Canis lupus familiaris: one gene and its partners. The protein of the gene in region 6 interacts with the protein of the main gene of each other region in a pairwise test. Links are inferred from orthologs where the notes say so. Each region holds a gene or a part of one and is shown on either strand. Other genes may lie near its edges. The genes, in order: SH2D4A, PPP1R18, TLE5, FAM107A, LENG1, FSD2 and MRPL11.

Region 1 (4,122 bases), on a different chromosome or scaffold from region 6:
CACAGAACACCTAGCAAGGACCCCAGCATGAGCTTCTGAAGAGCTGTGTGCCCTTCAGCTGTCATTTCACTACTTTGTTTTCCCATTCGTGAAATGAGGAACTGCACCATACATCTTTGTAATGTGAAGACTATGTCATAGTCTATGTGAAGTTACAGACACAAGTGGAGGTAGGGTAGAGGAAACAGGAATGAGGAAACTAACCAGGGTTTTTCCCACTTTCAGTCCCTGAAAGGACAACCACTGACACTGATTCAAACTTTGAATGACTTTCCTCATCTAACACACTTGAGAGCAGCAAACTTCCAGTTATTCAAGATCCAATAAAAAGAAAAGCTAAGCTAACTCAGTTTTCTTCTCATATAGCACTTTACTTAAAAAAGGAAATGACAAGCAACAAGCCCAAATCTGCTATTTATTCCAAAACTAAATTTCTAAAGGGTGATAGGATCAGTTGTTTTCCAGGATAACATACATTTGGCCTGACTCTCACATCATCCATAGCCCTGTTCGACAAAATAAAAATTGTGTTTCTCATGATTCTAAGACCTTGGGGGGGGGGGGCAGGTAGATAAAGCCTAAATTATAGCAGTAATGTAATATGGACAGTAAAACTTTAATGGTAAGAATATAATTTAGAGCACCTGTGTGGTTCAGTCAGTTAAACATCCCATTCTTGGTTTGGCTCAAGTCAGGATCTCAGGGTAGTGGGATTGAGTCCTGCCTTTGGCTTGGCACTGACCATGGAGTCTGTCCCTGTCCCCCCTTTCCTCCCCCTACTGCCTCTCTCGCTCTCAAATAAATAAATAAATAATAAATAAATACAATCTTTTAAGAAAATGAATATAGTTTGAATATAGTTTGAATTGTACTTCTTTTAAAATGGCTGGCTATTTTCAGATTTTCATTTATCTTATTCAACTTCACTTAATAGAGTTTATCTGCAAAAGGGCTATTTTTTTTCTAAAGATTTTATTTGTTTATTCATGAGAGACAGAGACAGAGAGAGAGACACGTAGGCAGAGGGAGAAGCAGGCTTCCTGTGGGGAGCCGGATGAGGGACTCATTGGGGATCAGGACCTAAGTCCAAGGCCGACTCAACCACTGAGCCACCCAGGTGCCCCAAAAGGGCTATTTTTGAGGATAAAATGATTTACCAGAGGTGATAGCAATTTGGTAAGTTTTGTACATATGTGCCATTCTTCAGAAATGTGAAACGACTGTACAGATTTATCTAGGAAATTGCACTCATGGGCCAAATCTACGCCTGCATAGGACTTCCACGTGTTTATTCACTTTCTAAAGCTCCAAGTCGTTAGTATTCCGTCCGCAATCCGAAGCCTCTCAGGCGGGGGCCTGGCTGGCTCTGCGGGTAGGGCATGCGCAATCTTGATTTCCCTGTTCTGAGTTCAGGCGGGTGCTCGTGTTTACTTAAACAAACAAACAAAAAACCCTTTTAGGAGGTGAGGAGACTAAGATTAGAGAGAGGTGCCCTTGCTCCTGCGCCCTGCGCCCTGGGAAGGGAACGATACCGTTAAGGAAGCCTATAAACTGGCACCTGCGCGCGCGGCTCTCGGTGCCCCCGCGAACCCGAGGGCCAGAGCGGGCAGGGGCGGGCAGGGCGCCCACCCGACTGGGAGGACCGAGGCTGGGCTGCCGTCCTGCGGGCGGGCCCCGGGGAGCCGGCTGCCCCGCGGTCCCGGAAGGTCTGGGCGGCGGAGTTCCGCGCGGGCGCGGGCGCGGGCGCTCGTCGGCGGGGGCGGGAGCGCGGTGCCGGGCCGCGGAGGAGGCCCGGACCCACGGCAGGCACAGGCCCCGCGGGTGCTCCGGCGCTCCCGGCTCGCCCACCCCCGCCGGCCGCCTGGGCTTGGTGACGCGCCCGCGCCCCTCCCGGTGCCCCAGAAGTGCTCGCCTTCCCCCTGGGGCCGGCGCCTCCCGCGCCCCCACCCGCACGGTCCCGCGTTCTGCCCCCTGGCCCCGCCGCCCCCCGCACCTACCGGGCGGGGCCCGCGCTCCCCAGCAGGTGGCCCCGGGCCACGCGGCGTCCAGCGGGGCCGAGACGGAGGGAAGGCGGCTCAAACCCTCGGCCTCGCTTGTGCAAACAGTGTCCCTGCGCGCCCGCCCGCCCGCGCTGCCCCACCCGCGGCCCGCGTGCCCCAGCGGCTGACTGGGTGCTCGCGGCCCCACCCGGGCCCCTGGACGCGCTCCAGGCCCAGGCGTCGGCGCGGCCTGCTGCCCCAGGGGACCCCCCAGCCCGGGCACCCGGCCCCGAGCTGCCGCGTGTGGGGGCCAGGCCGCCGCCCCCCACCTGCAGCCCGCCGAGGCCGCCGCGCCCTCTCGGCCGCGGGACGCAGTGGTGTCAGCGGCCCGGGCCTGCTCCGCCGCGGGGCTCAAGGGCTCCTGCAAGCCCGGGCCTGCGGAGGCGGGAGGCCTCGGTCACACGGACAGCCCCAGCAGGCCGAGTCAGCTCACCTCCCGGGTCGCCTCCCGACTCCCGGAGCTTACTCTACCCGCCCCGCCCCCGTTTGTTGACATTAAAGTCATTTATCAGACACTCGGGCACTTGTCAGCACAGGCCACAAAGCTTTGTAGGGCAGAATCAAGGAGGCGAAAGGCTGGAAAGATGCAGGCTGCAAACAACAGACACGGAGGGAAAAATGAAAGAACTCTGGAGAAAGGAAAGAAGGTAAAGGAATCTTGTGAATAGCAGCAAGAACAGGTTGGGGTGGTGCCGGAAGGGAGGAGCTGACGGAGTACAGGAAAGTTGGGCAGAAGCGAGTAGAAACGTTGCAGGGCGTTTTCCATTGTGCAGGAGCGTTGGGAATGTGCGCGGAGAAATAGCCTGCTCTGGGGAACCCCACCCTGCGCATGGTGGGGAGGAGTCAAGAACACTGAGCCTTCTCTAGTCCTCTCCACAGCCCACCTGATACATTCAGGGGTCTGATTGGCTTCCTTCAAAAGTGAAACTTTCTTCTTCCTAACTTCTCTAGACCTCAGAAGTTACTCAAAGTTAGAAAGAGCCTTGGGGGCAGAGAGAAGTCCTTGAGAACCTATTTAGGAACCATTCTAGGGATCGCATCAGGGGAGAATTTCTGGTTTACTTTTGGTTCCCACTGCTTATTAAATGAATGGCCTGTGACTGCATTTGGCTGGATTGTCTCTTGCCCCTGGGTAGCGGCTGTGGCCAGCTGAAAATGAATCCTCCCATTTCATGGATCCAGCAGTTGAAGAACTAACAGGTGGTTCATCAGTCAGTAAAATTTTCCTACAACGGACACTGGTTGCAGCGGATGACCTTCCCCGACGCTCAAGTTCATGTGCTGATAAGTCTTTCTTTATAAGAGTACTCCCACTTGGCCACTAACCTGTCTGTACTTCGGTTTTCCCTTCTGGATAATAACAACGCCTACCTCATGAAGTTGTTGTGAAGGTTAAATGAGATGATATATGTAATGTGCTTAGAATAGTTCGTGGACTGGTGAATGTACAAATACATTAGCTTATACTATTTCACATCACATACTGCAGTTTCAAGTTATAACTTCATACTCAGACCTTGGATTTTGCCTTGTGTGGTACCTAGACTCCATGTTAACCTCAGTGATCCATCCCCACCTCCTCAGTATGTCACTTCTGAGATTAGGTTGTAAAAGACGTGAGCACATGCCTGGCTGGGCATCCAGCACTGGTCTTTGAGGCACGACTGTGAGAACACCAGCCTCAAATTTGTAGTGCACTTTCTGGCCCACCAGCAGCCTGGGTGACTGCTAAGTGTTCTCCATGCAAGCAGTGGGCAGAGCCGCTAACCCTGTGAACAAGATGGGAGATGCTGAAGCAGGCAAGAAGATCTTTATTTAAAAATGTGGGGGCACCTGGGTGGCTCAGTCGGTTAAATGTGCGCCTTCCACTCAGTGGTGATCAGGGTTCTGGGATCCAGCCACACATGGAGCTCCCTGCTCAGTGAGGAGTCTGCTTCTCTCTCTCTCTCTGCCTGCCGCTCCCTCTGCTTGTGCTCTCTCTCTCAAATAAATAAATAAAATCTTCTTTTTTTTTTTTTTTTTTAAATGTACTCAGTGCCACACAGTGGAAAAAAGTGGAAAACACAAGACTGGTCCAAATCCC
Region 2 (4,033 bases), on a different chromosome or scaffold from region 6:
CACCCTGGGAGACACACCCAGGGACAGCACTTGATTTGGGACAGAACCCTTGGGCTTGGAAATGAATGGAAAATGAGGGCTACAACAAGAAGGAAGGGTGTGCATAGAGGAGGAAGGGTAGTGGCAGGAATTAACAAGAAAGAATAGAGGAAGACAAGAATACAGGGCTATAAAAAAGAAAGGAGGCCAGAGAGAGCTGAGGCTTCTGAGAAGTCTGAGGGCTGCTCCCTACCTGTTTGTGGTGCCTTTCGGGGGACCCCTTGACAAGGCAGCTGCGGCTGAGGCGGAGGTAGCCCCCCAGAACCAAGATCTCCTCCGCAGTCGGGTACCGCTTCTTCCCAACTCCAGGAACTGCAACATCAGCCGCGGCTGGGGTGGCGGGAGTGCTGGGGGCTGCTGGGGGCACAGACCGCCGGGGGTTGACTGTGAAGGTGTGTCCACTGCGGCGAGGGGTCCCCACCCCTGGCCCTGCCTTCACCCCATAGAACAGACGGTTCATGAGGGGATCCCCAGGGGACTGGGGAGCAGGTGGGGCTGGGGGTAGGGGAAACAGAGGGGCTGTTGGTGGGGGCCGGAGATCCACCGCTTCCTCTTCCTGCCTCGTAGAGCCTTTAGTCCCAGCGTCCTCTGGTGGGAAGGGGGAGGGCACAGAGCTACAGTTCTGCAGGGTTCTCAGAGGCCTGCTCAGAGCCCCTGCCTTCTCCTTCTCAGCCTCCCCTTCTCCAGCCTCTGTACCAAGAGGCCCCAGATACTTCTCAGCAGCCTCTGGGGGTTTCTGAGGTTGAGTCTCTGTGTCCCTGGGTGTCCGTTCTCGAACCTTTCCAGAGTTCAGGGTCCATTTCCAGCCTTCTGTCAGCCTCAGGCCCCTCTCACTATCCTCCACAGGGCCGGGCCTTTGCTCTGCTGCCTCCACCTCTCCAGAGCTGCTCTCTGGAGCCTCCCTTGTCAGGGTCTCTGACACCTTTGTAATCTCTTCTGAGGCCAGTGTTGGAATTGGTCTCTCTTCTTTTCTCCTACATTCCTCCAAACAGTCTTTTCTTTCTTCTTCTGAGCTGGGCCTCCACCCTGATGCCTCCCGTTGTACCAAACTCTGTTCCTGAGACTCTCCAGAGTCGGGCCTCCATTTATGGGACTCTGACAGCTCCAACTTCTGGTTGTCAGATTCTGCGGGGCTCAGTCTACTTTCCACCACCTCTTTTCTCCTGGGGCTTTGTTCTGCAGGCTCTGCCAGTCTCAGACTCCACTCTGGAGTTTCTCCAGGGCTCAGCCTCCATTTCCGTGCCTCTGACAGTCTAGAGCTCCTGTCTCCAGACTCTCCTGGGCTCTGCCTCCAGTCCCAAGCCTCTGAAGTTCTGGGGCTCAACTCTCGGGCTCCCCCTATCCCCAACTTCCTCTCTCTGGCCTCCCTGGGACTGAGCCGCTCTTCTTTTGAGTCTCTTCCCTTGGGGCTCTGATCTCGAATTTCCCCAGGACTGGGTCTCCTCTCCCGGGCCTCCAAAGGCCCAGGCCTTCTCTCTGCAAGTAACTCTTCATTGCGCTGCTGCTGCTGCTGCTGCTGGCGCTCCTGCCGAATGAATCGGTTCTGGTGCACCGGCCCAATGGCTTCTAGGAGGACAGCCGACTCATCTGGGTCTGGAGGTCCAGCCTCTGTAGTCCCAGGGGCAGGGCTAGGTTCTCCAGGAGACAGACCAAGCTTGGCCCGGCGGCGCTCCAGGATTCCCCGCTTCCAGGCTGGCATCTGGGACAGACGATCCCGCTCAGCCTTCTCCCGGCCACGAAGGGCCGCCTCCTCCTGCCGCCGTCGGGCCAGCAGCTGTAGCTTCCAGTCCGGGATGGTAGCCATGGTCGCGCGGAGGTAGGGGTGGGAAGTGCTGGGCTAGAGAACAGGAAAGAGAGGCTCCAGAGGTCCTGGGGGTAGGGGGAGGGGAAGCAGAGGGGCAGAGGAGGGACACCGAGATGGGCCCAGGCCCGGGAGGGGAAGAGTGAGAAGATGGAGGGCAAAGTAACGGGGAAACAGAAAGTGAAAAAGCAGTGGGCCCGGCGGAGGTGGCGTCGCGGCCCTGAGAGGAAGAATAGAGATTCAGGGCGAGGAGACAGCAGTCAGAATTGGCAGCGCGGGGTTCATGGTATCGGGGAGGCCCGAGGATGTGAGCGGAGAGAAGGGCGGAAAAGGAGTCGTAACGAGGGAGGCGAGAGCCCGGAGCGGCCGGGGAGCGGGGGCGGGGGCGGCGCGAGGAGGAGGACCAGGCCGGGTTTCCCCACCGCCGCCCCAGAGGCGGGGGGCGGGGGGGGCGGGGAGGGGTCCGGGAGTCCCGCCGGGAGGGAGCCGGGACTGGAGCGGCGTCGGGGAGCCGGGAGGAGCCGGCGTCCGGGGAGGCAGCGGGGCGCGGGGCGCGGGTGCGCCCACCCCGGGGCTCCCGGAACCCCGGCGCCCGCCCCCGCCCCTCCTGCGGCAGCCCCCGGCCCGGGCCGCGCCCCGGCTCCGCGCCCCGGCTCTGCCGCCAGGCCCGGCTCCCGGCTCAGCGGCCCCGCGGAGCCCGCCGTCCCCCCGGCTCGGGGCGCACCGACAGGCAACCGCGGCTCGACGGGAGGAGCCCGAGGTCCGCGCCGGGGCGGGCGGCGCGAGACACCCCCGCCCCGAGGCCGCAGCCCCGCAGCCGACTCACACGCGCGGGGCTCCCACGGGAGGGGTGCGGAGGAGCAGGCGTCCGAGGGAGGAGGAGTGGGACCGAGGGAGAGCCGGAGACGCGGGCGGGGAGGCGGGAGGGTGACCGCGACCCGGGGCCGGGCGGGGGGCGGCGACCGCTTTGTCTGAGGACAATGGGGAGGGAAGGGGGCGCGGGCGGGGCGGCGCGGGGCGGGGCGGGGCGGGGCGGGGCCGGCTCCCGAGCCCGCGCGTGGGCCCCGCCTCCCCGGCTCCCCTTCTCGCGCCCGAGCCCCGGCCCGGCCCGGCCCTCCTGCCGCGAGCCCCGGAGAACGCAGGTGTCCAGGCCCTGGCCCCCGCCCCGCCCGCCCCGCCCGCCGCGCCCGCCGCGACTCAGGCCCCTCGAGGGACTCGCAGAGGAAGCAGCCGCTGCCCCGGCCGGGCCCGCCCCTCCCCAGGCGGTGGCCTCTCCCGGCCAGCCTGCGTCACTGCGGGGTCCCGGGCGGCCACCCGGAGACGTACTCGGAAGCCCACGGCTTTGGTAACTGGCCCCCACGACAGCCGCTGCCCAGTCTTTAGCTTCAGCCCGCGTCCCATGGGTCCCGGTCCACGGCGGGGGAACTGGGGACTTGGAGGAAGGGGGCTGGGCCTCGGGGGTGTGCCCGAGGGGCCGCCGCCCAGCGGTCGCCAGAGGGCGCGGTGGCCGTCCGGACTCGACTTCGGCGTGCCTGGGCTCTGCTGGCCTTCCTTCCAAAGTCAGCCCTCTAGTTAGAGACACACTGATGGACTGCATGCCATATGTAGAAAAAACGGGCTGAATTTTATTTTTCCGCCGCAGACGTTCCTCGGGAGGGCAGAGATCTCTTAGTCACCAACATGAAGGGCGGGAGGATCCTCTCAGGTTAGAGGACAGAGCCCAGGGCCAGCGCCTAAGGAGGGGCAAGGCCTAAGGAGGGGCTAGGTGAGTCAGCAGAGCTGGCATTACCATCAAACCTGCAGACCCTGATCCTACTCCTAGGAAGGGAAGCCTGAGGGGGAGAAGGGGATCCCTGAGGTGTAGAAGGGAGCAACAGTGGGAGGGAAGTGGGCAGGCCCACCCTTCTTCCTTAGAAGGACTGTTCTTAAGGTGGGGTGGAGGTGGGTCAAGGCCTAAACTGTGAGGAAATACTGAAGTTCCCCACCCTTCCTCCGTGGTTTGGTGAGAAGTAGATCTTGGGGTCCAGTGGTTGAAATTCAGGATTAGGGTATGGAGCTGGGCCCAAGGAGTGGAGGCTCAAACAGGGGAAGGGATGGCCCCTTCAGTCCATAGATTTGGGCCTCTGGTCTGAAGCAGCCAGAGCCCAGATGTTAAAGGGCTTGGGACCAGGTTAGCTCCTCACTCGGCCTCAC
Region 3 (4,290 bases), on a different chromosome or scaffold from region 6:
TCTGTAGGGACTGACCTCCCAGGGTGGGGGTGCTGAGAAAAGGAAGTGGATGAAGACCAGAGAAGCTTCTAGAACAGCGCCTGGTATACAGGAAGCACCTGATACATGCTTGACCTTCTGGTCAGTCATCCCAGGGGCCTGGCATCTTCGCTTCACCAAAGTGCTTACGACGGGTCTGCCACTGTGCATGTGGCTATGGGCCCCACGTGTTTTTTCTCCCCCTTTCCTTAAAAAACGCTATTTGTGGATACCATTGGGGGGAAAAAAAAACAATCAGGCAATTTCACGCCAAACTCTGAATTTCTGGCCCTGTTTGAGGGTCTGGCAACTCCTGTGTGTACCCACCCCATGGGAGGACCCCTCACAGTCCAGAGAGAAACCCAGGTCCACCGGGTGCAGACCCCAAGGTTCAGAGAGGGTGTCGGGTTTAGCTGAGGACACACAGCCCTGTGACGGCCCTCTGACCCCCGGCTCTGGGGTTGTCAGGCCCCAGGGCTCACTACGAAGTGGGGGCGCTCTGGAGGGGCTCCGAGAACCCAGGCCTGCCCAGCCCAGGCCCTAAATGCTTCACATCAGGGACCACAAACAAAGTTCCTGGGGCCTGCCTTCAACTGCCAGTGCCTCAGTTTCCTTGTCTGAGAAATGGGCACAGTTAAGAGGCCCACAGCGGGGAAATGCTACAAGAGGACATCGGTTCAGCATCTAGCACATGGGGAGTGAGGAAAGTCGCCTTGAAAGGTGAGATTTTTTTTAAAAATCTATCTACAGATCTGGATCTCGCTGTTTTTCTTTCTTAAAACCCAGAATCTGTCTTGGAACCTGTCTGCGCAGGCCAACAGGCCTAGAGAGCCGCTGGGGTCTGCGACCGTGACCGAGGACTCCGGCCCGATTCCCAGGCAAAGCCCCCCGCCCCCCAACAGCCTTGAGAATCTGCGTTCCCCAACCCAGAGATTACGGGCACATCTCGGCCTGGTCTCAGTGCTGTGCATCCTCAGGAAATCTCTGCCCTCTCTGGGCTTGACGTTCTTAAAGCATGAGACAAAGACAGCACCGGTCCAACCCCTCCATGCTGCACTGCGCAAGCCCTTTACGGCGCCAGAACGTTAAATTCTGGGGGAAGAGCCTCCTTGGAGAGTCTTGTTGGGAGCCGGGAACTCATTCCCCAAAACTAAGCAGAGAAGAGACAGGACAGGCTGCGGAATGTTTTCTTTCCGGGGTGGGGGGTCCATCCTCCACCAGGCTCCTTGGGAGGTCTTTTATCCACGCGGGGGGATTGGGGTGGGGGTGGGGAGAGGCCCTCTGAAGCCACACAGCCCCAGTGTCTGGACAAATAATTTAACTTTCTGTGCCTCAGGCTTCTTACCAGTGAAATGGGTTGTCTTGAAGTCTACGAGTTTAATATCCGGAAAGTGCTCAGGACAGGGCCTACCCCGTACCAGGACGCTCTCGGCCTCCATTTCTTCAAATAGGTGTATAAAGCAGTAACCCCCCCCAGGCCTGGGGGGCCTCCCCCCCCAACCGCCAGGGCCTCTGGCCCCCAGCTCACCTGTGGTACTGAGCCTGCAGCAGCTGAAACTCGTCTTTGATGCGGTCGCAGGAGTCCGAGGTGGTGAATTTGAGTTGTTGGGGTAGGTGAGAGGAGCCCTGCGGGGAGGGGGCGGCCGGGTCAGGGCCCCGCGGGGCGGGGTGACCCCCGGGGCAGGCGCAGCTGCAGCGCCCCCCCCCCCCCGCCCCACTTCCCGGGCCCGTGTTTACAGCCCCTGGCGCGGCCCCCGCCCTCGCTTCCTGCCCCCGCCTCTCCCGGGGGAAGGCGAAGGGGTGGGTGCGCCCGGGGCCGCCGCGCTCCCCGCCACCCCCAGGCTGTGGGGGTGCGTTAGCAGGTCCGCCCTCGGCGGGGGGCGGCGCGCGCCCTCTACCGCCCCTCGGAAGCGCCGGAGGGAGGTGCAATCCGAGGGCCCCAACCGCCTCTGCGGGAGGGGGGCCGGCGTCCTGGAGGCCCCCTCCCCAAGTTGGTGGGGGTGCCCGGCCTCCCCGAAAAGTCCCCTTGGGGAGGGGGCCTCTCCCGGCGCCCGAAATCACCCGGGGGGGCGTCCGCCCCAGATTCCCAGCACCCTCCTGCCCGGCCGCGTTCTTCCGGGAGGGGTGCGCCTCGGATCCCCCCTCATCCCAGGCCTCCAGACCAGCCCCGGAGCTCGCGGGGCCCGGCGGGGCTCCCGGGGTGCCCCAGGCCCGAGGCCAAGGCCGCCCGAGGCCCGGCCTGGCTGGGGCGCGGGGGGGGGGGGGCCTGCCCCGGGGGCCGGGGGGAGGAGGAATCCGGGCCGGGAGCCGGAGGGGACCGGGCCTGGGAACTAGGGGGGATCCGGGCCGGGCGGGGGGAGCGGCCGGGACCTGCGGGGGCCGGGGAGCCCGGGCGGTGGGGGCGGGGGAGCCGCGCTGGGCCCCGCGCCGGAGTCGGGGGAGGCGCCGAGCAGGGAGCTGGGGATGGGGGGGCGGCCCGGCCGGGAGCGGGGAGGGCGACGGCCAGGCCGGGACCCCGGGTGCCAGGCGCCGACCTGGGGAGGCGCGCGGGGCCCGACCTGGGGGGGGGCGGCCGGCAGGGGACCTGGGGGGGCGCGGGCGCGGGGATGCGGGGCCCCGACCGGGGTGGGGGGGGGCGCCGGGCCGTCGGGCCCCGCTTACCGAATGCCTGCTTTGTGGAAACATCATGTCAGTCGCGGCGGGGGGCGCGGGCTGCGCCCCGGTTGTGCGCCCCGGCTCGGGCGGCTCGGGCGGCTCGGGGCGCCGGGCGGCCGCGCCTTTGTCCCGGCGCCGATCGGCAGCTCCCGGGGCCGCCGCCGCCGCCTCCCGCGCCCGGCCTCGCCCGCTTCCTGCGCCCCCTCCCCGCGCGCCCGGCCCCGGCGCGCCCCGGGCCCCGCTTCCTGCGCGCCCGGCGCCCCTCCCCGCCCCTCCCCGCCGCCCGCCTCCCCGCACGCCCGGCCGCCGCTCCTATTGTCTAATGGCGGCGGCGCCGGCACTGGCCGCGGCCTCGGCTCGCGGAGGCTCCGGCTCCACCTGCTGCCGCCGCCGCCGCCGCCGCTGCTGCTTCCCGGGCCCCGTGCGCGCCGCCGAGGGGGGCGCGCGCCCGGGGAGGCCTGCGGATCCCCACCCAGCCCGCCTCCCGCCGGCCGGCGCGGTGACCTTGGGCTCGGCGCGCCCCGCCCCGCCCCGCCGCGGCCCCTCCCGGCGGGGGGCGGCCGGCCGCGGGCCTCGGTGTCCCCGCGCGGCGAGGAGGGCCCGCCGCCCCCGTCTACACCGCCGGCTCCGTCATGGCGCGACCTGGACGCGTGCCAGGGACGCGCTCCGTAACCTTGGCCCGCGGGCCGGCTGCTCTGCGGGGAGGCCGCGCTGACCCCGCCGCCCCCACCCGCGCACCGCGCCTACTGTGTGCGGGCCCGCTCGGGACCTGGGGGTGGGGGCGGGGTGTGCGCGCGCGCGCGTGTGTGTGCGCGCGCGTGTGTGCAAAATCCCGGCCTGGTGGAGATGGCAGGAGACAGACCGAACCCCCAGCTAGGGGGCAAATGAGCCAGCGGGGAGGGCCCGGAAAGTGCGATTTGAAACAGAGGAAGGTCAGAGAGGCCTCCTCAACCGCAGAGGACCTGAAAGTGAGAGACAGCCCTGGAGGGGGGGTGGGGGGAGGCAGGAGTAGCAAGTGCAAGGGCCCTGAGGCAGGCCCAGCCTAGCACTGGGGACGGCGCAGGGAGGCAGGGCCAGCAGCTTCACACCTTGGTTCCCACTGGAGGCCTGCGCTCTGAAGGGCCTGTGCGGGTTCATGGCCTGCTGCGCTGGTCTGGAAATTCCTAATAGTTTTCCAACAAGGGGTCCCACAATTTTTGTTTTTAAGATTTTATTTTTTATTTATTCAGAGAGAGAGAGAGAGAGAGAGAGGCAGAGTCACAGGCAGAGGGAGAAGCAGGCTCCATGCAGGGAGCCCGACATCGTCGGACTCCATCCCGGGACTCTAAGATCACACCCCGGGCTGCAGGCGGCGCTAAACCGCTGCGCCACAGGGGCTGCCCCGGGGTCCCACAATTTTGTTCTGCACTGGGCCATGTGAATTCTGTAGCGGGGCCGGCGGCATGACAGATGGTGCAGGGCCTTGGGGGCGGTGGGGGGTTTTACTCCAAGGGAGGCTCTCGAGGCAGGAGGCCGCGACCCCCCCACCAAAGGCCCGGCCAACTGGGATTCTGATAGGATCACTCTTGCTGCCATGTGGATAACAGGCCCCAAAGAAGTTGGTGAACTAATGCCTGG
Region 4 (4,108 bases), on a different chromosome or scaffold from region 6:
CTCGGTCTTCCCAGCTGTACAATGGGGAAGGGATTGGACCACTTTGCCAGGGGTTTTCCAGAACTGATTTTATAGCTATGGTTAAGCCATGAGTGTGGGAAGGGGGTCCGAGAAGCCCCCCAGGACAGCTCCGTGACCTTTATAGCACAGGCCAGTGGGTGCTAGACCTCAAACGGCCCAGGCGTGTCACAGACATCCTGCAGAGGCCAGCTGGGTTACTGCCTCCAGAAACAGAGCAGGAGGCATGTGTGGGGGAGGGCTGGGGGGTGGTCCACAGACGGGGGAGCCCCACAGCAGGCCTGGCCTGGGCCGGCTCATAGCCTCTGCTCCAGGCTGGCTCAGCCACTGGCTGGCTGTGGGAAGTCACATTGGCTCATGACTCAGCTTCTTCATCTGCCATGGGTGTGATGTTAATGCCCCTGGTGGATCAAAGGGAGGGTGTGAAGAGCTGACAAGGACGCAGGTAGGAGAGGATCAAACCCAGAGGGAGACGAACGTTGACTAAGGATCTACTTCATCCCCAGGCATGGTGTCATTTAGATTTTACAACAGTGTGAGAAGGATTATTATCTTTAGTCTATGGGGTTGGAACCTGAGGTCCTGTCTTGTCCACGGTCCCCGGGTATTTGGAAGAACTGACTCAGGTGTGTCTGACCTCAGAGCCCGTGTTCCCATTCACCCTCTGCGGCCTCTCCCTGGGGGGCAGCCTCTCCCTGGGGGCAGGAGGAGGGCCTGGGCCCAGCACATGCCTGCTTTTCAGTCTGGGGGCTAGTTCTGATCGGGATGCTGTGCTGAGGAAGATTCTGAGGTCATCTGGACTTCGTGGGAAAGGGTGTAGGGACCGATTCGTGAAGTTTGTCACCGGTGAGAGGAGAGAGAGAGGCAGTCTGTGAGCTGTAATTGCTGTTCCTAGGCTAGACCTTGTCGGGGTCTTTTCCAGGCCTGGGAAGAAGCCGTTCTCCAAGGTGACTGCACCTGCACAGGTAGGATCTAGAGGCTGAGCTCATTCTCCCTTGGGAGAGGGGAGAAGCTGGAAGAATGTTCCTGAAGGGGGCTGGGTGGGGCCAGGGTGCAAAGCTCTGCTGGGAAGGCAGCTCTGGGCTGTATCAGAGAAGACACAAGAACAGCAGGTGACCCACAACAGCAACTGGGGGCTCCCATGAGCATGGCGGGATGGAGAAGGGACAGCCCCAGGACAACAACCTTCTAGGATACTGCTGCTGGGGGTGCTGAGGGGAGGCAGGAGTTTCCAGGCCTGACTTGCACCCGAAACAAAGGAGGTTGGGAGCAGAGGCTGGTGCAAGGCGGCCCCAGGGGTTATCTAACCCAATGCTCATTTTCCAGATGAGGAAACTGAGGCCCAGAAAGCTTGTTCCATGGGGACTGCCAATGATGTGTTTTACTTTAAATTTGAAAAATGTGGGTTGGGCTCGGTTGGCAGAAAATTTAGAGTCATGCAGAACCATAGTTGTTTGAGGGTTAGAGCCCCCGTTTATTAGGGTTGTCTGGGTGACAGGCTGCATGCTACATACTTTATAGCATCCTCTCGTGGCCCCTCCCAAGGGGTGAGGACCAGCCCTACTTTACAGGTGAGGAGCTGAGATCCAGAGATCCAGGGGGGTTCAGTTCCTTATAAGGCAGGTGGAGGAGCTAGGGCCCAGGCAGCCTGACCTTACCGCTGGGGTCACAGTCCTGGTGATGTGGACTGAGTGCGTGTATAAGAATCCCTGGGGAGCCCTGCCTCCCCTTCCCCTGATCCAGGAAGTGTGGGTGAGCCCTAAGAAGGAGACTGTGGAGCAAGCCCCCTCCCATGCCCCATCTCTAATGCAGACACAGGGTCTCTATAGACCACATTTTCAGAAACACTGCATAGGCTCTGTCTACAAATCTCCAACTGAGAGCCCAGACATAGAAGGTGATGCATAAAAATGTGAAGAGAACTCTAATAACAGAACATAGCTTATATATAGCTCACTATGTGCCAGGCACTGTTTGAAACACTTTACATATATTTTTGTTCAGTTAATTCTCACTATAAGCCTCTGAGGTAGTGACTATTGTCCCCATTTTACAGATGGGGAAATGACTTACAGGAAGCGTCAGTAACTTGCCCACCGGTGCTCCCTGGCACACGGGGAAGGTGCGGCCACGGAGCCTGTATGCAGGGAAGTAGAGAGGTGTGTGTCTAAGACCAGAGAGCCTGTGAGGTTGGGCAGTCCAGGTCTGTTCCAGGGGTGGAGAGATCCGAAGGCTTTGTCCTAAGCCCCAGCTAGGTTTCTAGATGCAAATCTTGGCTGTGAGCTCAGGGAGGGAGGCTGGTGGGCAGTGCCTGGCTCAGGCCCATGGAGCTGGCAGGTAGGTAGATGGGGGCTCCCACCCGGTAGGTGCAGTCTCCCTCCCCATGTTCAGGGACCCAGCAGGACCCTCGGGGGCTCTTACCTTCTTCCCATGGACTGCTCCCATGGCACAAAGCGGGCACCAGGCCTGGGTGGGCCTTGGGGGGCCCGGCTGGGGTCCTCCCTGCCGATGCTGATCTCAGGAGCTGGGGCCCAAGGGGTTCCCTGGGCCAGGGTCCCCCGTCCTCTCGTGGCTCATTCTTCTCAGGCACAAAGGAGGCTTTCACAGCTGCTCCTAAGCCCAGAGCTCCTCAGACAGGCTTAGGGTGATTGATCCTGTCAGAGGGGTATGGTGTCCCCAGAGGGCCCACACGTCCTGTGGTCCCTGTAGCTCCTCACTTCCTGCACCCCTGCCTCTCTCAGGAGGGGAGACTGAGGCATCCGTGGGGAGGTGAGAAGCAAAGCCGTCCTCTCACCATGCGGCCGGCAGCTTGAGTACAGCGGGTGACCTCTGGCTGGCCCAGCAGGCAGGACTTGGCCTTCTTGCCAGGCTGGGCACCGATCAGCAGACAGGCCCCAGACAGTGGAGGCTGTGTGGACTAGCTGGGGTATGGGGCTCAGGGCAGGCTTGGCTTGTGTGGGGATGTAAACCTCGGGCTGGGCAGCAGCCCCATTAATAGTAGATCTTTGAAGACACTTGGGGGCAAGGGCTCTCGTGGAGCGGAGACACTGAGAGCAGAGTACTTCATTCAACAGGACAGTAGCCCAGCTGGGGAGGGCTGGTCTGGGCTTAGGCCAGGAGACTATCTGGAGGCTGGATTCCGGGCCCTGGGCCAAGTTCTCAAAGTTCCCCCAGCAGTTACCCTCCTCCTTACTTGCTACCCTCCTTCATTATTATCAACAGCATGGAGCGAGGAGGTTAAGGCCCGAACCAGCCTGGGCTTGAAACCCAACTCTTTCCTCACTGTTGTATGACCCAGGGGGTGGGGGTGGGGGTGGGGGGCATGATTTGACCTCTGGGAGCCTCCGTTTCTTCGTGTGTGTGCTCCTATAATCACACAGCACAGGGTTGCTCTGATGGCTGAAAGAAGTCGGTGTGCACAGCCAGAGCCATTGTTCTCTTAAAGCATAAATCAGATGATGTTATTCTCTGTTTTACACTCTCCCCCTTGACGGAAGAGGGGTAACGATGGCCCCTGACCCCATGGGGCCCTGAGGATGAAATGAGGTGACTTGTGTAAAGCTCTGGGCAGAGGATTTGGAGAATAGGAATTTTCCAGAGAAGTTAGGTGCTGCTTGTTATAATGCTGTTAATGCCACTCGTGATAAAACCACTGCCCATTGGCAAGTCCCAGGTAACCAGTTTGATTAAGCAGAACAGCCTTTCTTAAGAGATGGCTGGGCCAGGGAAAACTTGCAGCCCTGTCTTTCCTCTGTCTAGCACAATGCCTGGCTCCGGGGTGGTGAGGACTTATTGTACAAAGGATTATGAAATGGCAGTTGGTAGTGAAGGGTCAGGATCAAGTATTCTAGATCCACCTTTGCCCATAGAATCAAATTCCCCATGGTCCAACACAGTTCTGTTCCATGAAGTCTTGCTGGCCTCTCAGACCTCATTTCCCATTCCCCTCTCTGCCTGACAATTCCTGGATCATACCACCCTCCTCCTCACCCCAGCACCTTTGCACATGCTGTTCTCTCTGCTGGGAAGGTTTTCCATCTCTCTCCCTTGACTACATTTTTAAATCTCGTGCAATTCTTTCCTTTTTATC
Region 5 (4,197 bases), on a different chromosome or scaffold from region 6:
TCGAAGCTGGTCCAGGGATGGGGGTCTGGGGGGAGAACACTCAGGTCAGAAAGCTTATAGCCCCTAGAGGTCCCACTTTCCCCCAAGAAGGAGCTGCCCCACCTGGAACCCCGTCCACCTCTACCTGCTCTGGTCTGAGAGGTTTGTGGGTAGGAAGCTGGCCTCATGCTGTGCAAGGACCCAGGACTGCCATCACTGCCCCTGATGCCCCTCCAAATCATGAGCTATGATGATGAGCACAGCCAGGACCTCAGTTTCTCCTTCTGTAGGAGCTAGGAGACCTGCTCAGGTTTGTCCTCCTTGGGACACAAACCTGCTCTGACTGACCCCGTGGTTCTCAAACTAGACCCCAGAAAGCTTTGTGTCAGTGGGTTTCATCTATTGCTATTTTGCATAGAAGCGAGAAAACCTTGAAACAAGGTTACGTCCCCAGTCACCACAGTGTCTCTTCACGCCCTGTCTCTTTAGAAGCCACTGGACAATCAAGGCTGAGTGAAGGGTCACAGGGGCTCAGGAAAACCAGCTTGCCTCTGCAGACCCCCTGCTAGGGCGTTGGAGCCCCAAAGCCACACGTGGCGAGCCGCCTCCCCAGGCCCCCAGCCCCTCACCCTGACAGCACCAATGCAGCTGCCCACTTCCTTACACTTCAGGCCGCTGCTTCTCAGGCTTCTCCTTCCCCTTCCTGCCATGGCCACCATTGTCCCCACTGTGCCGTCTCTTCCTCCTCAAGTGCTTCTGTATCTCCTGTAGAGGGTCCAGGCGGTTCTTGATCTTTTCATCTGGACCTGGGCTGAGCTGGGGGGCCCCTTGCCGTGGGGGTAGCTGATACCAAGGCAGCTGAGTCTGGGCTTCTGCTGCACTCTGGCCCAGGTAGGTCAGGATGCCCAGAGCTTTCTCCTGCCTCTCCTGAGGGGGACAGAAAGAGGGAACTGAGGATGTCAGCGATGTCTCCACTCAGGGAGCCCTACCTGTGACAACAGAATCCCCCAGGCTCCTGGACAGGTAGAAGCAGCATGAGTCAACTCAGCCATTTTTCCAAGGACAGGTGGGCCTCCTGCACTGGGCAGAGTGTCAATTCAATAACAAAAAACACAAGGGGGAAGGACAGGGTGCAGCTGCTTTAGGGTTCAGAGGCAGCATCTTTGGGGAGATACTTTAAAGATGAACCTGAAAGCCCGCCAGCAAGGCAAAGGAGTGAGGCGAGACAAAGGCAAGTTCAGAGTTTGGTGGGAACCCCTGAAAGTGGGTAAGTGACAGGACCCAGGTTCTGATTTAGATGAAAAAGCTTCCTAATACACCTCCACAGGGTCTTGACATCAGCCCAAGGGGTCTGTACCTGACAGTGCCGTGCACCCACTTCCAAGCCCCTGCAGGGAGGGTGCCAATAACCCACACTGGGAGTGCTGTGTTCCAGTACTGAGTTCTCTGTGTCAGCTCATTTCATCCCCACCCTACCTCTCTGTTCCCATCAGTCACCCCAGACTTTACCCCTGACTGACAGGGACGGGTGTGGGGGGGGCGCGCAGCTTACTTTCTCCTGTCGCTTTTCTTCCTCATACTCTCTATTGCCTCTGGTCGCCCCTTTCCCTTCCTCCAGCAGCTCCCGAAATAGGTCCACAGGGCCAGAACTGGGGGCTCCCGCCTCTGCTGCTTGGAGCTCAGGTAGCGAGTGCTGGTGCCTGGCTTTCTTCCGTAGGAATTCTGTGCGGGCCTGGGGGAAAGAAAGTTACAGGCAGAGCATTCATTGCCTAGCCATGCCTCCAAGAACTGTGAGACCGGTGCCAAGCACAGAGAATCCCCGTGCTGGTGCTGAGGGCTCATCAGAGCATCACCCAGCCTGGGGGAGAGGATGGGAGAATGAGGTGACACCTGGGTTTGTACGCTGCCTTTGGTGAACCAGAAGGGTTTCCCAACCTCAGCTGGCACAATAAAAACAGCTAGGAAGGCAGCCCAAAATTTGCGAGCAGGCGACCAGAAATACAGTAAGGCTCCAGATCACTGTCCCTCGACCACGTGCAATCTGCTGACCAAAGTGAGCTTTAAAAGCCCAGACCACCTCCCGGCCAGCGGTGAGGGCCAGATTCGTTAACAAACTTCAAACTCCGTGCACACTAGAAGCTAGAAGTTACTCCGAGAACCCCCGGGGTTGGGGGCCGCGGGGAGAGGGCTGGCCCCACAGGGGGATGGGTACGTCCCACTTCTCTGCACAGCGGAGGGCAGTGCCCTCTGGGCACGAACAGAGCAGGTCCAGCGCTCTGCTCGGGGCGAGCATACAGCAGACGCTCCAGAGGGGTCGGGCAGGAACACTAAACGTGGGTCTGCGTTTCTTTGAACTGCACAGGATTCATTTTTTCAGCAGCCCCTACTCTAAGCCAGGCACACCCCGGCCTCACGCAAAACGAGTGGCGGAAACCAGGGCAAAGGGGAGGCCCAGGTGGGGAAGCCTCAGGTAGGGCCCGCGCAGGCGAGCCCCTGCGTTTCCAACCGCGCCCAGCTCCTCCAGCCTCACGGGAGGCACTGCGCGTGTGCGCCATCCCGCTTCCGGCCCCTCCCCCACGCGCCTGCGCGCTCGGCCCGGGAGTCGCGTCCGACCGCACTCGGGGCTTACCTCCTGCTGAGCGAGCAGCACCCTCCGCTCACGTTCTTTCTCCTCCTCTCGGGCCTGAGCCTCGTCACGCCGCACGCGGGCGACATTGTCCTTGTTCCGGACGTGCCAACTCTTCTTGGGCAAGATATTCATGGCGTCGTAGCCGTCCACCGACTGCAGGCCCACCTCTGAGCACTTTCTATTGGCGAGAGGATGCCGTTCCCTGTTGTTCCTGCCTCAGCTACGGATTGGCCCTGGGCTGGCTGCCACGCCCCTCCAAGTCCGTAGCGAGCGCTGATTGGCTGAGATGCCGAATTCGGGTTGGTGTAGCCTGGAGACCGCCTCTTCACCAGGTCCTGAGCCAATCACTTGTCCCCGCCCTGAAGCTACGGGACGCGGCCGCTGATTGGCTGGCCTTCTCGAGGCCGATAATCTGATTGGCCGGCTCAGGATGCAAGTTACAAACAAAGCGCTCTGCAGTCTCAGCGGCGTTTATTGGTACGAGAAAGGTTAACGCGAGAGTGAGGGGGTGTCAGGGCCCCGGAAATCTCCGCAGCCGGGGACTTAGGGTCTTCTCAAGTTCTCTTTTACAGATGAGGTGCGGGCTTCCATAGGGTCCGGGGGCAGGATGAAGTGGGCCATGGTCCCGAGCAGGGCTAGGGAGGTCGAAGAGCCCCGGTGGCCGAGCTCAGTGCCACAGCGCGCTGTGCCAGGAAGACCTTATTCTGCGCCTCCTGGGTAGAGGTAAAGGGTAAAGAGAAGTGCAGGTGAGGCCGACCGCTCCCCACCATTTCTTTCAACATCCAGGACCCCCTACCATGAACCCGCTTTGCCTCACCGTCTCTATCTGGCGTTTGAGCTCAGAGACCAGACGTCCATAGGAGTTAGCCAAGGCCAGGGTATATGCCATCAGGATGCTATAGGGACGGAAATGGAAGCCATACCCAGGGGGCTCTTAGCATATCTTCAGTGTAAAGGCTCCTTAGAAACCGGGGATCTGGACTCCCAGCCCCACCCCACCCCCGCCAGACCCCTCCTCCCTCAGACCCGGGAGTCCAGGCTCCTCCAACCTCAGACCCAAGAGTCCAGGCCCCCAGCCCCCTCCCTCCTCAGACCCAGGAGTCCTGGCCCCCAACCCCTCCTTTCTTAGAAACAGGCAGTAGGGGCCCCCAGGGAACACAAACTCAGACCCAGGATTCTGGGCTCCCTCACCTGGAGATTAAGAGAAGAGGCACAGCAAAAGCCTGGGTCCCCAGGAAAAAGAGAAAGTTCTGGACGGTCTGAGGGAGGTTGGAAATAGACTCAGGGATCTGGGCCCAGATAGACGACTGCCCTTGGAATGGACCACACAGCTTAGAAGGTGGGATCCTGAAGAAGTCAGAGACAGTGTTCAAGGATGGCCAAGATTCAGAATCCTGGATGAGGGTGGAAGGAAGGAGGGAAGGAGAAGGGAGAGGCAGGCCCCTGCCACACTTACAGGAAGATGCTGTAAAGCACGGGAACAGCGGAGATGGCCAGAGCCAGGAGAAGGACCAAGGGGAAAAAGAAGTTCGCTGTGGAAGCCCGAAAGGTGCGGGAGGCCGGGGAGCAGGTGGAGAAAAGGGTGAACT
Region 6 (4,297 bases):
TAAGAAAACAGAGTCCTTGAAGTCAAGCCAACTCTGCTATTAGCCTCCTAAAGGAAAAGGTAGATAGAACAGGTCTTGTTAGCAAAATAAATTCAAGACCTACTTAATCTACCAACAGCAATTACATACTTTGCATTGGAAAATAGGAACAGTAAATTAAGAGATTGGAAAGGGTGGGAGAAGGTAGTGAACCCATGAGACTCTCATTGTACTGGTGGGAAGGTGACTGGAAATTGGAGAAGTTGTTCAAGAAGTGGAGGACAGGTCCTCTCCTGGAGCGCAGCCTTCAGAGGGTTTTCTGGTTAGATGAGCCTCCTTGGACAGAGACCAGCACAGTCCCGTTTACAGAATGCTGTGTCACAGTGAACTGTGCTCCAGAGCAACTGCCAGCGTGTGAGCCATGTGAGTTAGGATTCTGACAAATACTGGAGGATGAGAAGTCTTAAAGAAAAGGCCTTGGTACCCATGTAATCTCTCTGCTTTATACTGATCACCAAGCATGTGCTTCTGAAATATTTTATTGGATGTGTACAAGTGATTGCATATCATTGTCTGAACCAGCAGGAAGTCAACTATTAAACATACACTTTTCCAAAAAAGGCAATTTAATTTTACCAGGAACCAATGTCATCTTATATCTCAAGTCTCCAAACCAACTTTCCAGTCCCTTCACCAGGTGTCTTAAAATCTGACTATTCTGAATTACTAAGCCCATGTTAGTTTACACTAGGATTCTGTGGTTATTCTCCATATTCTTGTTCCCCTTTATTGAGGGAAGCCTAAGCTTATGTTAATAACTTGCTCAAGGGTTATAAAGTGATACAGGTAAGAACAGATTGACATGTTTTAACTGCAGAGCCAGGGATTGCAGCTATAATGATCTGACTTTTAAAAATAGTTTTTTTTGTTTTGTCTTTTAACAGATTTATCGGCAGGTTGCTGGTGAACATGGCCTTGAGGTAAATCCTGCCCCTTGTTGAAATTTAATTTCAGTAGATTATTCATGGTATTTTAGGAATTGGAATATTTTACAGAAAACGTTTTGTTTGGTTCTGTTCTAGACTTGTTTTTTTTTCTTCTTGTAGAAGAAACATGTTTAATCAAAAGTTCTTTATGCAGAATAATTGTGATGCTTTAAGCTGGTCATCTGCCTTAAGTGGATCTTAAATGTTAATGGTCAGTGGCAATTCTAGATTATTTTTTTCTTGGTCAAATAAAAATGTCACTTAAACCTTATAGGTGTTAAGTTTTTATCATTTTATTCATGTTCGTATTACATGTGAAATATTCCATAAAGCCTGTTAGAATCCTGAATTCAGGCTTGCCTATGATATCCTACTTCCTACCTGGCAGTTTCTATGTTGGTAGCTGAGAACAGTTTTGAATACACACATGTGTCTATAACTTGAACTATCTCTGTGCTTCATTGGCTATACTTTCCTTATTTCTGGGTAGTGATCCAGCTTGGCAGGGCAGTCGTGTGTGTACACATAAGGAGCTGTGAGATCATCAAGGTGACTTGTTAATTCAAGTATCTGAGCTGCTGTTAATATCAATAGGCAGAGCAGTGGTTGGATGAAGAAGATACTAATTTAGTCTATATGTGGTGTGTACCTGTTTGTGACATGTTAGCCATTAGGGGTTGAATGATGAATAAAACACTGCCTGCCTTCATGGAATTGGGCCTGGTAGAGGTCATTTCAAAGTTTAAGTGGGGTAAGTCCTCGGAACGGGGTGTTCAGAGTGCTCATTGCAGTGCCGTTAACTGCCGGGAAGATAGGAGAGGGGAAGGCACATCTGGTTAGGTGGTGCTGGTCCATGGCTTCCCTGGTTCTGGTTGGGGACAGCTCCCTGCCTCCTCAAGTCTGTTACTGGTGCTAGTGACATGTTACAGATGTGCTGCAGCCATTAACACTTATGCATCTTTTCCCTTCCTTTCCACTGCCCCTCATCCCGAGCTCTGAAGGCCTTGGAGATTCAGGTAACTTTGCATATAAACAATAGATGTGTACAATATGACAACTTGAAAGACCTCTGGGTTCATGTTGGCTGAGCTCTCGTTTTACAGCCGGGCCTAGTAATGACCAGCCTATCTCACACAGGCGGCAGTGCACAGGACTGGAATCCAGGTCAGGTGAGATAAGTGTCAGTGCACTAGTCTGCCAGGTGAGAATGTGAGCCATAAGTTGTGCTTGGTGCATGGTGCCTGAATGCCAAGTCCAACCAGTCGAGGGGTGAGTGGCTGAGAGGGGTAGGTACGGAAGTCGGGGATCAAAATGGTCTAATAGAAAGCAACATGCTTTGGCATTGCAATGCCATTATGTATCTTCAGACACCCAGGCTTTTCCAAAGAAAAACACGGATGCACAAAGCAGTAGAACTGACAGCTGAATGTGTATAGATGCTGAGAAATGTCCGCATTGAAAAATGACAATTTTGAATTTTCATAGTCTAACAGAATGCCAATCTTCCTGGGGGACACCGTTATTCTTATGTCTGGAGTCATCTTGTTATGCAGGAACTCATACTTATGCCTGAAAATTAAATGTTGATACAACAAAGTTTCAGAAATTCTGTCTGGATTATTTGCAGAACATTTCATATTAATTTTATTCATATACTCCTATGCTTATGTTATTTTTTTAACTGATTACCCTTTCCAAAATTATCTTTTCTAAAATTTGTCCTAAGAGACTTTTATTTTTTAACTCCATTTGTTTTCAAGCAATCTGTTAACCTAAAATACTTAGGTACAGTAACATAAATTCTTACTACATAAAAATTTGTATAGATATAGGTGTTTTGGAAATTTAGATTTTTAAGGTTCAGATGTATAAAACCTTTGTAATAAAGACATTTGAAACAGGCAGCCTCATGATCTTTCATGGAATAAAATGAGCCTCTTGGTAGAATCTGTGCACAAGCAAGCACTCACTAAGGCACCATTCTCAAACCTTCAGCCTTAGCAGGGCCCCCTGGGGGCCGTCTCCATTCACTGCAGTACCCTCTCGCCAGGCTCTGTGTCCTTTGTGCTTTGAAGAATGGCCTGAACTGAAACCAGCCACAGGAACTTCCTACCCCTGCTATGTGCAGACATTTGCAGAGCTCAGCAGCAGCACGCTGGTCCACATGCCTGGGAGGAGCACTTGGAATAGCCTTCAGTGCATCAGGCCAAGCCAGCCTGTCTCCAGCACGAGTCACCTCATCTTCCCCTCTGCTGCTCCTTTCCTTAACTAAGAAGCCACTCTTCCCTCTACCTCCTCCCACCACAGTAGAGTCAAGACTAAAGCAAGAAATACGAATCAGCTAAGATACCCAGCCCTCACCCTCCACTTGTAACTCGGTCCCTCTCTCATGTGTCTTTCGAAGATGGGACTGCAAGAAATTGCTCTGGCTCCAGTGCTCGGCTCTTGTCCTTTTTCATGCCATCTCATGTTCCCATCCTCTTCTGTCCTCTGACTTCCCACCCTTTCCACTATACACAGACCCCTACTCTTCCTTTATTCTCTCTCTTGTTTTCCTCTGCCATTCATTTTTCCTTTTATAGGAGAGGACACTTTGATTTTTAGTCTTATTTCAGGCAGGATCCAAATAAACCATTTGGCTCAGTGCCTGGTATTTGTATTCCTCAAACTGGGTCTGAGGCTCAGTAAAGTCCATTCTAATCCAGATATCTTACAGGGGGCAAGCTGGTCTTCCCACATACGTGTGGGCATGACAGATAGTGTTTAACCATGATGGAGGCTCATGAGCAGAGAACATCGGATCAAATGTTAATAGGATTCAGCAAGCCAACGAGGGTCAGAGGCCCCGTGGTAGAAGAGGTACTAGGAAAATAGGTTTTACAATTTTTGAGGTGAAGGGAGGTTGCAACGATGGCTTTCTAAGTCTGACAATGTCCACCCCACTGGGGGCCTCTTTTTGGAACTAGTCCATGCATAGAGGACAGAGTGCTTAGCAGCAGAAGCAAACTGGAATGAGCCATAACTATTTTAAGCCTCTGCCCACTTACAAAGATGGAATTGGGGCTTCAGATCAAACTATCCGTTTAATAACATAAGTTCAACATGAAAAACCAATTACTTAGTGGTTAAGAATGCTGTCCTTGGAGCCAGACTGCCTGGATTTGATTTTAAGCTCTGAAAACATTGGATAGATGACATGACTGTTATGAGGCATAGCTTTTTTTTTTTTTAATGGGATAATAGAAGTAAATGGGCTAGTACACATTTAAGAGTGTGGAACAGTGCTTGGCACAGAACAAGCTCTCCGTGAATTTTAGCTATTTTAATCCGAA
Region 7 (4,099 bases), on a different chromosome or scaffold from region 6:
AAGGCTGGGCAGTGTGGGGGCACTCAGAGATAAATCATATCTAGCTGGGCTCTCTTCAAGGTGCTTTACCTGAATTAACTCATTTCCTGGGAGGTTAGTACTATTGCTAGCCCCGTTTTGCTAGTGAGTAAACCAAAGCACAGGAAACTTAATTATTTTGCCCAATGTTTTACAACTAGTGAATCAGGAGCCAGCTTGATTCCAGACCCTGGCTAAGGCTAATGAGATAGAGCATTATAAAGAACTTGAGAAACTTCAGAGGCAGGAATAATCACATTTAATTAGTGGAAGTCCAAAAAAATCATAATAAAAATATGACAGTTTACAGTGTGGTTTAGCACAGATTATCTCCTTTTACTAGATGAGGCAATGTAGAGTCATGGTACATGGCACAAGGTCTAGAATCCGGTAATACCAATATTGGTTTCCCAGCCTTGTCAACACAGGGTAGTTGTTTTTGACCTCCTTTTTGTGCGTCAGCATTCTCGTTTGTCAAAAAGGTAAAATAAAAGAATTTACCTCATGCCATTGTGAGGACTAAATGAGATAATAATGCCCTTAAAGCACTCGGCACCATGCCTGGATATAGCAAGTGCTCAAAAAAAAAAAAAAAAAAAAAGGCATAATAAGATGCTGGCTTATTTTTATAAGTCTCACAACAGCTCTGTGAAGGTTTTGTCTTCGTTGTACAGTTAATAGCACATGCTTACTAGATGCCGGGCATTGTCCTAACACACTGCTAACTCAATCTTCACAACAGTCCCTAGAGCTATGTCTACATATTATAATCTTTGTACAGGGGAGGAAAGTGAACATAAGTAATTTGAACAAGTTCACAGCCAGCAAGAGGAACAACCGGGTACTTACTTCCCGGGTCTATACTCTTAATCATAGTGCCTTTCAACAACAGGTGACGAAACAGGCTGGGAAAGTTAGAGATGCTCACGCCCGAGAAGGAGCTCTAAATTCCCTTCAAACCCCAGGATTATAATCACATCCAGCAGATGGCCCCCCAGAGCATAGCAACGTGCGAGATTTGCGTAAGCGGTCAAAACTACCATGCCCACAATGCTGTGCGAACATTAAGGGCCTCCTCCTCCTCCAGTTTAGCTGTCCGAGGTACTGCCTATGTGCTCTGCAGGAGGAATGCATGTATCTGAACCATTCAGGCCTTCCCTTATCTTCAGATCGTGAGGTAAAAGTTTTTTTTATCCTTCATATTACTCTCTTTGGCGTACTAGTTGGAGAATAGAAAGGCCGAAACAACGCTGCTTTTTGTTGGCGTCATATGACCAAACCTAACGTGAGGACCCTTGACCTCTGACTCAGGATGGCGGCGCCCGTGGCCGTCGCTTTTGCTGTAATCCTGAGCTGAACTGAGGCCGCAACCCCGCGTCATGTCGAAGCTGAACCGAGCCGCTCGGGCCCTCAGGAAGCCCGAGGCCGGCGGCGTGATCCGGACCATCGTGCGGGCAGGCCAGGCCATGACCGGGCCTCCTCTAGGTCCCATCCTGGGTCAGGTGGTCCCGCGGCTGGAACCCGGAGCGGGAGGCGTGGTGGGGGTGGGACCTAGTACTGGGACCCGGAGCGGGTGGAGGGTGCGGGCTCGGCTTGGTAAGGTAAGGTCAAAGCGCGGCTTTGCTGCCCACACGCTTTTGGTCTTTGCGTTCATTCCGTGGCCTGTTCGAGGCTAAGCTTCCTCCGTCCTTGGTCAGCGGCCCCTTGGGAGGATAGAGGGACGATGCATACAGATCCTCTGGCGCGTAAAGTGTTAGTTGAATCTGGGTTAATAAGAGGAGGATGGGACCTTTAAGAGATGAAGACGAAGGAGGAAAGGGATAGAATCTCCCGTATGGTAGGAAGCCGCCCCCTTGTCCCCACACTAATGTCCGTGCTTCCCACCCAGAGAGGTGTTTCCATCAACCAGTTCTGCAAGGAGTTCAACGAGAAGACAAAGGACATCAAAGAAGGCATTCCTTTGCCCACCAAGATTTTTGTGAAGGTGCACAGTCGGGACTTTGATCCTGTTTGGCTTTTAAGTTTTTATTTTTATTCCAGTTAGCCGGTATACAGTGTTATATTAACTTTGAGTGTATGATATAGTGATTCACCGGTTCCATGCAACACGCGGTGCTCATTGCACTCCTTAATCCCCGTCACCTAATGATCCTATTTGTTTTTCTTCCCCTTGGTTACTGGGGTTGCTACTCTGCTTTTAATTTTGGGTGAGGCTCTTCCTATCACCGAGTCCCACTTTCCCCATTTACACAGTGGAGACTAGACCATATCTTTTCTGAGCCTTTCCTGCCATATTGCATTTCCTCCCTTTGCCTGTCCATCTCACTCGGGCTTCTACAGCAGAGCTGAGCCTGGACTAGAGGTGACAAAGCTGTTAGCTGCAGATTTATTTTCCCCGTGTTTTCATGATCTGTTAAATGGACGCCAGTGGAAGATGAGTCAAGGGAAGGGGGAACAGAAGTTAAAAGTTCTCTGGGCTGGGGCAGCAGGGCCTAGAGGAGATAAGAGAGATATTCTCCTGTATTTTCTTCCCCATGAAGCCTGATAGGACATTTGAAATCAAGATCGGACAACCCACTGTTTCCTACTTCCTGAAAGCAGCTGCTGGGATTGAGAAGGGGGCCCGGCAAACAGGTAAGGGTCAGGGTGGGTACCCGGGATTTTGGGGGCTCTGGAAGGAAGCCGAGATACCTCAAGGTCTACTTGTTTCTTCCTCCCAGGGAAGGAGGTGGCTGGCCTGGTGACCTTGAAGCATGTGTATGAGATCGCCCAAGTTAAAGCTCAGGATGAGGCCTTCGCCCTGCAGGATGTGCCCCTGTCCTCTGTGGTTCGCTCCATCATTGGCTCTGCCCGTTCCCTGGGCATTCGTGTGGTGAAGGAGTGAGTGTCTTGGGAAGGTGCAATGTGAGGGGAGGGCTTGGAAAGTTCTTGACTCTGGAGCAAAGCCAGGAGGGCCCATTACAGTGGGAGGACCAGCTTCTGAGTCAAGGACCTTAGATTCTTGGGAGTGGGCAGCCTTATTCATCCATTTGGAATATGAATATTAAGTACCTGTTATGTGTCAGACATTTTTCTGGACGTTAGATACAGCGAGGAAGAAATCACTGGGTGGCTCAGTGGTTTAGCATCTGCCTTTGGCCCAGGGCGTGATCCTGGAGTCCCGGTATCAAGTCCCACATCAGGCTCCCTGCATGGAACCTGCTTCTCCCTCTGCCTGTGTCTCTGCCTCTCTCTCTCTCTCTCTCTCTCTCTCTTTGTCTTTCATGAATAAATAAATAAAATCTTAAAAAAAAAAAGATACAGCGAGGAACAATGAGATAGCCATGCTTGGCCCCACTCCTAGGGAGTTCACAGTTGAGAGCTGGAGGCAGATGTGTAAGTGGAGCATTAGGCTGCTAGATGGTCATTGTTGACAAAAGGAACTGCAGGTTCTTGAGGAAAGAGTAGAGCTCCTAATTTTGCCTGGTGTGTCAATGAGGACTTCACAGAGGAGGTGACATCTGCACAGACTTGGAAAAGGAGGTCAAGGACTGGGACAAGCATTCCAAGAAGTGGGAAGATCCCTGTGAAGGACAGGAGGTGAAAAAGTGAAGCAAATAAATGCAGTGTGCTCTGGCGTATGGTGCTAGAAGCAGAGTGGGGAATAGGAAGAGAGGTGAGACAAATGGACCAGTTGGGAAGGCTGAAGGCTGTTTCCATCTATCTGAAGTTCATATTTGATCCTGAGGCCAACAGGAAGCCCCCTCCTAGGGTTTGGGATGACCTCAGGAATTATTTCTCTGAAGTGAGATGTTGGATGGGAGAGCATACATCATCTGAGGGCTCAGACAACAGCAAGGGCGGGGCTTGGCCCTTTATGGGCCTCTTGCTGCTGATGTTACATCTCATGCTGAGGCTAACATTTGTTTCCTAAGAGAAGTGGGATTAAACGTGGTACAAGGATAGACCTGACTTTCTCAAATCTTCACTTTGACTAGAAGTACAGAAGTGAGTCGATCTGACCCTTGCTTGGGGGGAGGCACATGTGTATAGCCTGACGACTTCTTTGTACAAAGTGTTTGGGGGCACAGAGGAAGGGGCA

What was found.
Region 1: the proteins of FSD2 (region 6) and SH2D4A interact in binary tests that used the Homo sapiens proteins (3 or more experiments, as listed by UniProt). The two-hybrid records come from large-scale screens. The link is inferred for Canis lupus familiaris from reciprocal best matches to the Homo sapiens genes FSD2 and SH2D4A.
Region 2: the proteins of FSD2 (region 6) and PPP1R18 interact in binary tests that used the Homo sapiens proteins (3 or more experiments, as listed by UniProt). The two-hybrid records come from large-scale screens. The link is inferred for Canis lupus familiaris from reciprocal best matches to the Homo sapiens genes FSD2 and PPP1R18.
Region 3: the proteins of FSD2 (region 6) and TLE5 interact in binary tests that used the Homo sapiens proteins (3 or more experiments, as listed by UniProt). The two-hybrid records come from large-scale screens. The link is inferred for Canis lupus familiaris from reciprocal best matches to the Homo sapiens genes FSD2 and TLE5.
Region 4: the proteins of FSD2 (region 6) and FAM107A interact in binary tests that used the Homo sapiens proteins (3 or more experiments, as listed by UniProt). The two-hybrid records come from large-scale screens. The link is inferred for Canis lupus familiaris from reciprocal best matches to the Homo sapiens genes FSD2 and FAM107A.
Region 5: the proteins of FSD2 (region 6) and LENG1 interact in binary tests that used the Homo sapiens proteins (3 or more experiments, as listed by UniProt). The two-hybrid records come from large-scale screens. The link is inferred for Canis lupus familiaris from reciprocal best matches to the Homo sapiens genes FSD2 and LENG1.
Region 7: the proteins of FSD2 (region 6) and MRPL11 interact in binary tests that used the Homo sapiens proteins (3 or more experiments, as listed by UniProt). The two-hybrid records come from large-scale screens. The link is inferred for Canis lupus familiaris from reciprocal best matches to the Homo sapiens genes FSD2 and MRPL11.

What each region holds. Positions count from the first base shown.
Region 1 is NC_049237.1:22,874,103-22,878,224, reverse strand, and holds the start of SH2D4A (SH2 domain-containing protein 4A), read right to left. Parts: upstream 2,801-4,122; 5' UTR 2,473-2,800; intron 2,463-2,472; exon of another isoform or gene 2,309-2,462; intron 2,168-2,308; coding exon of another isoform or gene 1,461-2,167; intron 1-1,460. Other genes in the region: collagen alpha-2(I) chain-like, read left to right, coding at 1,461-2,167. UniProt on the Homo sapiens protein: Inhibits estrogen-induced cell proliferation by competing with PLCG for binding to ESR1, blocking the effect of estrogen on PLCG and repressing estrogen-induced proliferation. May play a role in T-cell development and function.
Region 2 is NC_049233.1:625,434-629,466, forward strand, and holds the start of PPP1R18 (phostensin), read right to left. Parts: upstream 2,801-4,033; 5' UTR 2,667-2,800; intron 1,877-2,666; 5' UTR 1,844-1,876; coding exon 233-1,843; intron 1-232. Other genes in the region: NRM (nurim), read right to left, coding at 3,542-3,573.
Region 3 is NC_049241.1:56,586,156-56,590,445, reverse strand, and holds the start of TLE5 (TLE family member 5), read right to left. Parts: upstream 2,801-4,290; 5' UTR 2,707-2,800; coding exon 2,680-2,706; intron 1,942-2,679; exon of another isoform or gene 1,846-1,941; intron 1,645-1,845; coding exon 1,547-1,644; intron 1-1,546. UniProt on the Homo sapiens protein: Transcriptional corepressor. Acts as a dominant repressor towards other family members. Inhibits NF-kappa-B-regulated gene expression. May be required for the initiation and maintenance of the differentiated state.
Region 4 is NC_049241.1:32,298,376-32,302,483, reverse strand, and holds the start of FAM107A (actin-associated protein FAM107A), read right to left. Parts: upstream 2,801-4,108; 5' UTR 2,464-2,800; coding exon 2,440-2,463; intron 1-2,439. UniProt on the Homo sapiens protein: Stress-inducible actin-binding protein that plays a role in synaptic and cognitive functions by modulating actin filamentous (F-actin) dynamics. Mediates polymerization of globular actin to F-actin. Also binds to, stabilizes and bundles F-actin.
Region 5 is NC_049222.1:103,811,567-103,815,763, reverse strand, and holds the start of LENG1 (leukocyte receptor cluster member 1), read right to left. Parts: upstream 2,801-4,197; 5' UTR 2,741-2,800; coding exon 2,609-2,740; intron 1,712-2,608; coding exon 1,532-1,711; intron 907-1,531; coding exon 644-906; intron 26-643; coding exon 1-25. Other genes in the region: TMC4 (transmembrane channel-like protein 4), read right to left, coding at 3,244-3,321, 3,426-3,504, 3,800-3,955, 4,065-4,195.
Region 6 is NC_049224.1:55,070,732-55,075,028, forward strand, and holds the end of FSD2 (fibronectin type III and SPRY domain-containing protein 2), read right to left. Parts: intron 2,535-4,297; coding exon 2,282-2,534; 3' UTR 960-2,281; coding exon of another isoform or gene 924-959; 3' UTR 501-923; downstream 1-500.
Region 7 is NC_049239.1:51,392,327-51,396,425, forward strand, and holds the start of MRPL11 (39S ribosomal protein L11, mitochondrial), read left to right. Parts: upstream 1-1,299; 5' UTR 1,300-1,397; coding exon 1,398-1,520; intron 1,521-1,906; coding exon 1,907-2,002; intron 2,003-2,558; coding exon 2,559-2,652; intron 2,653-2,738; coding exon 2,739-2,898; intron 2,899-4,099.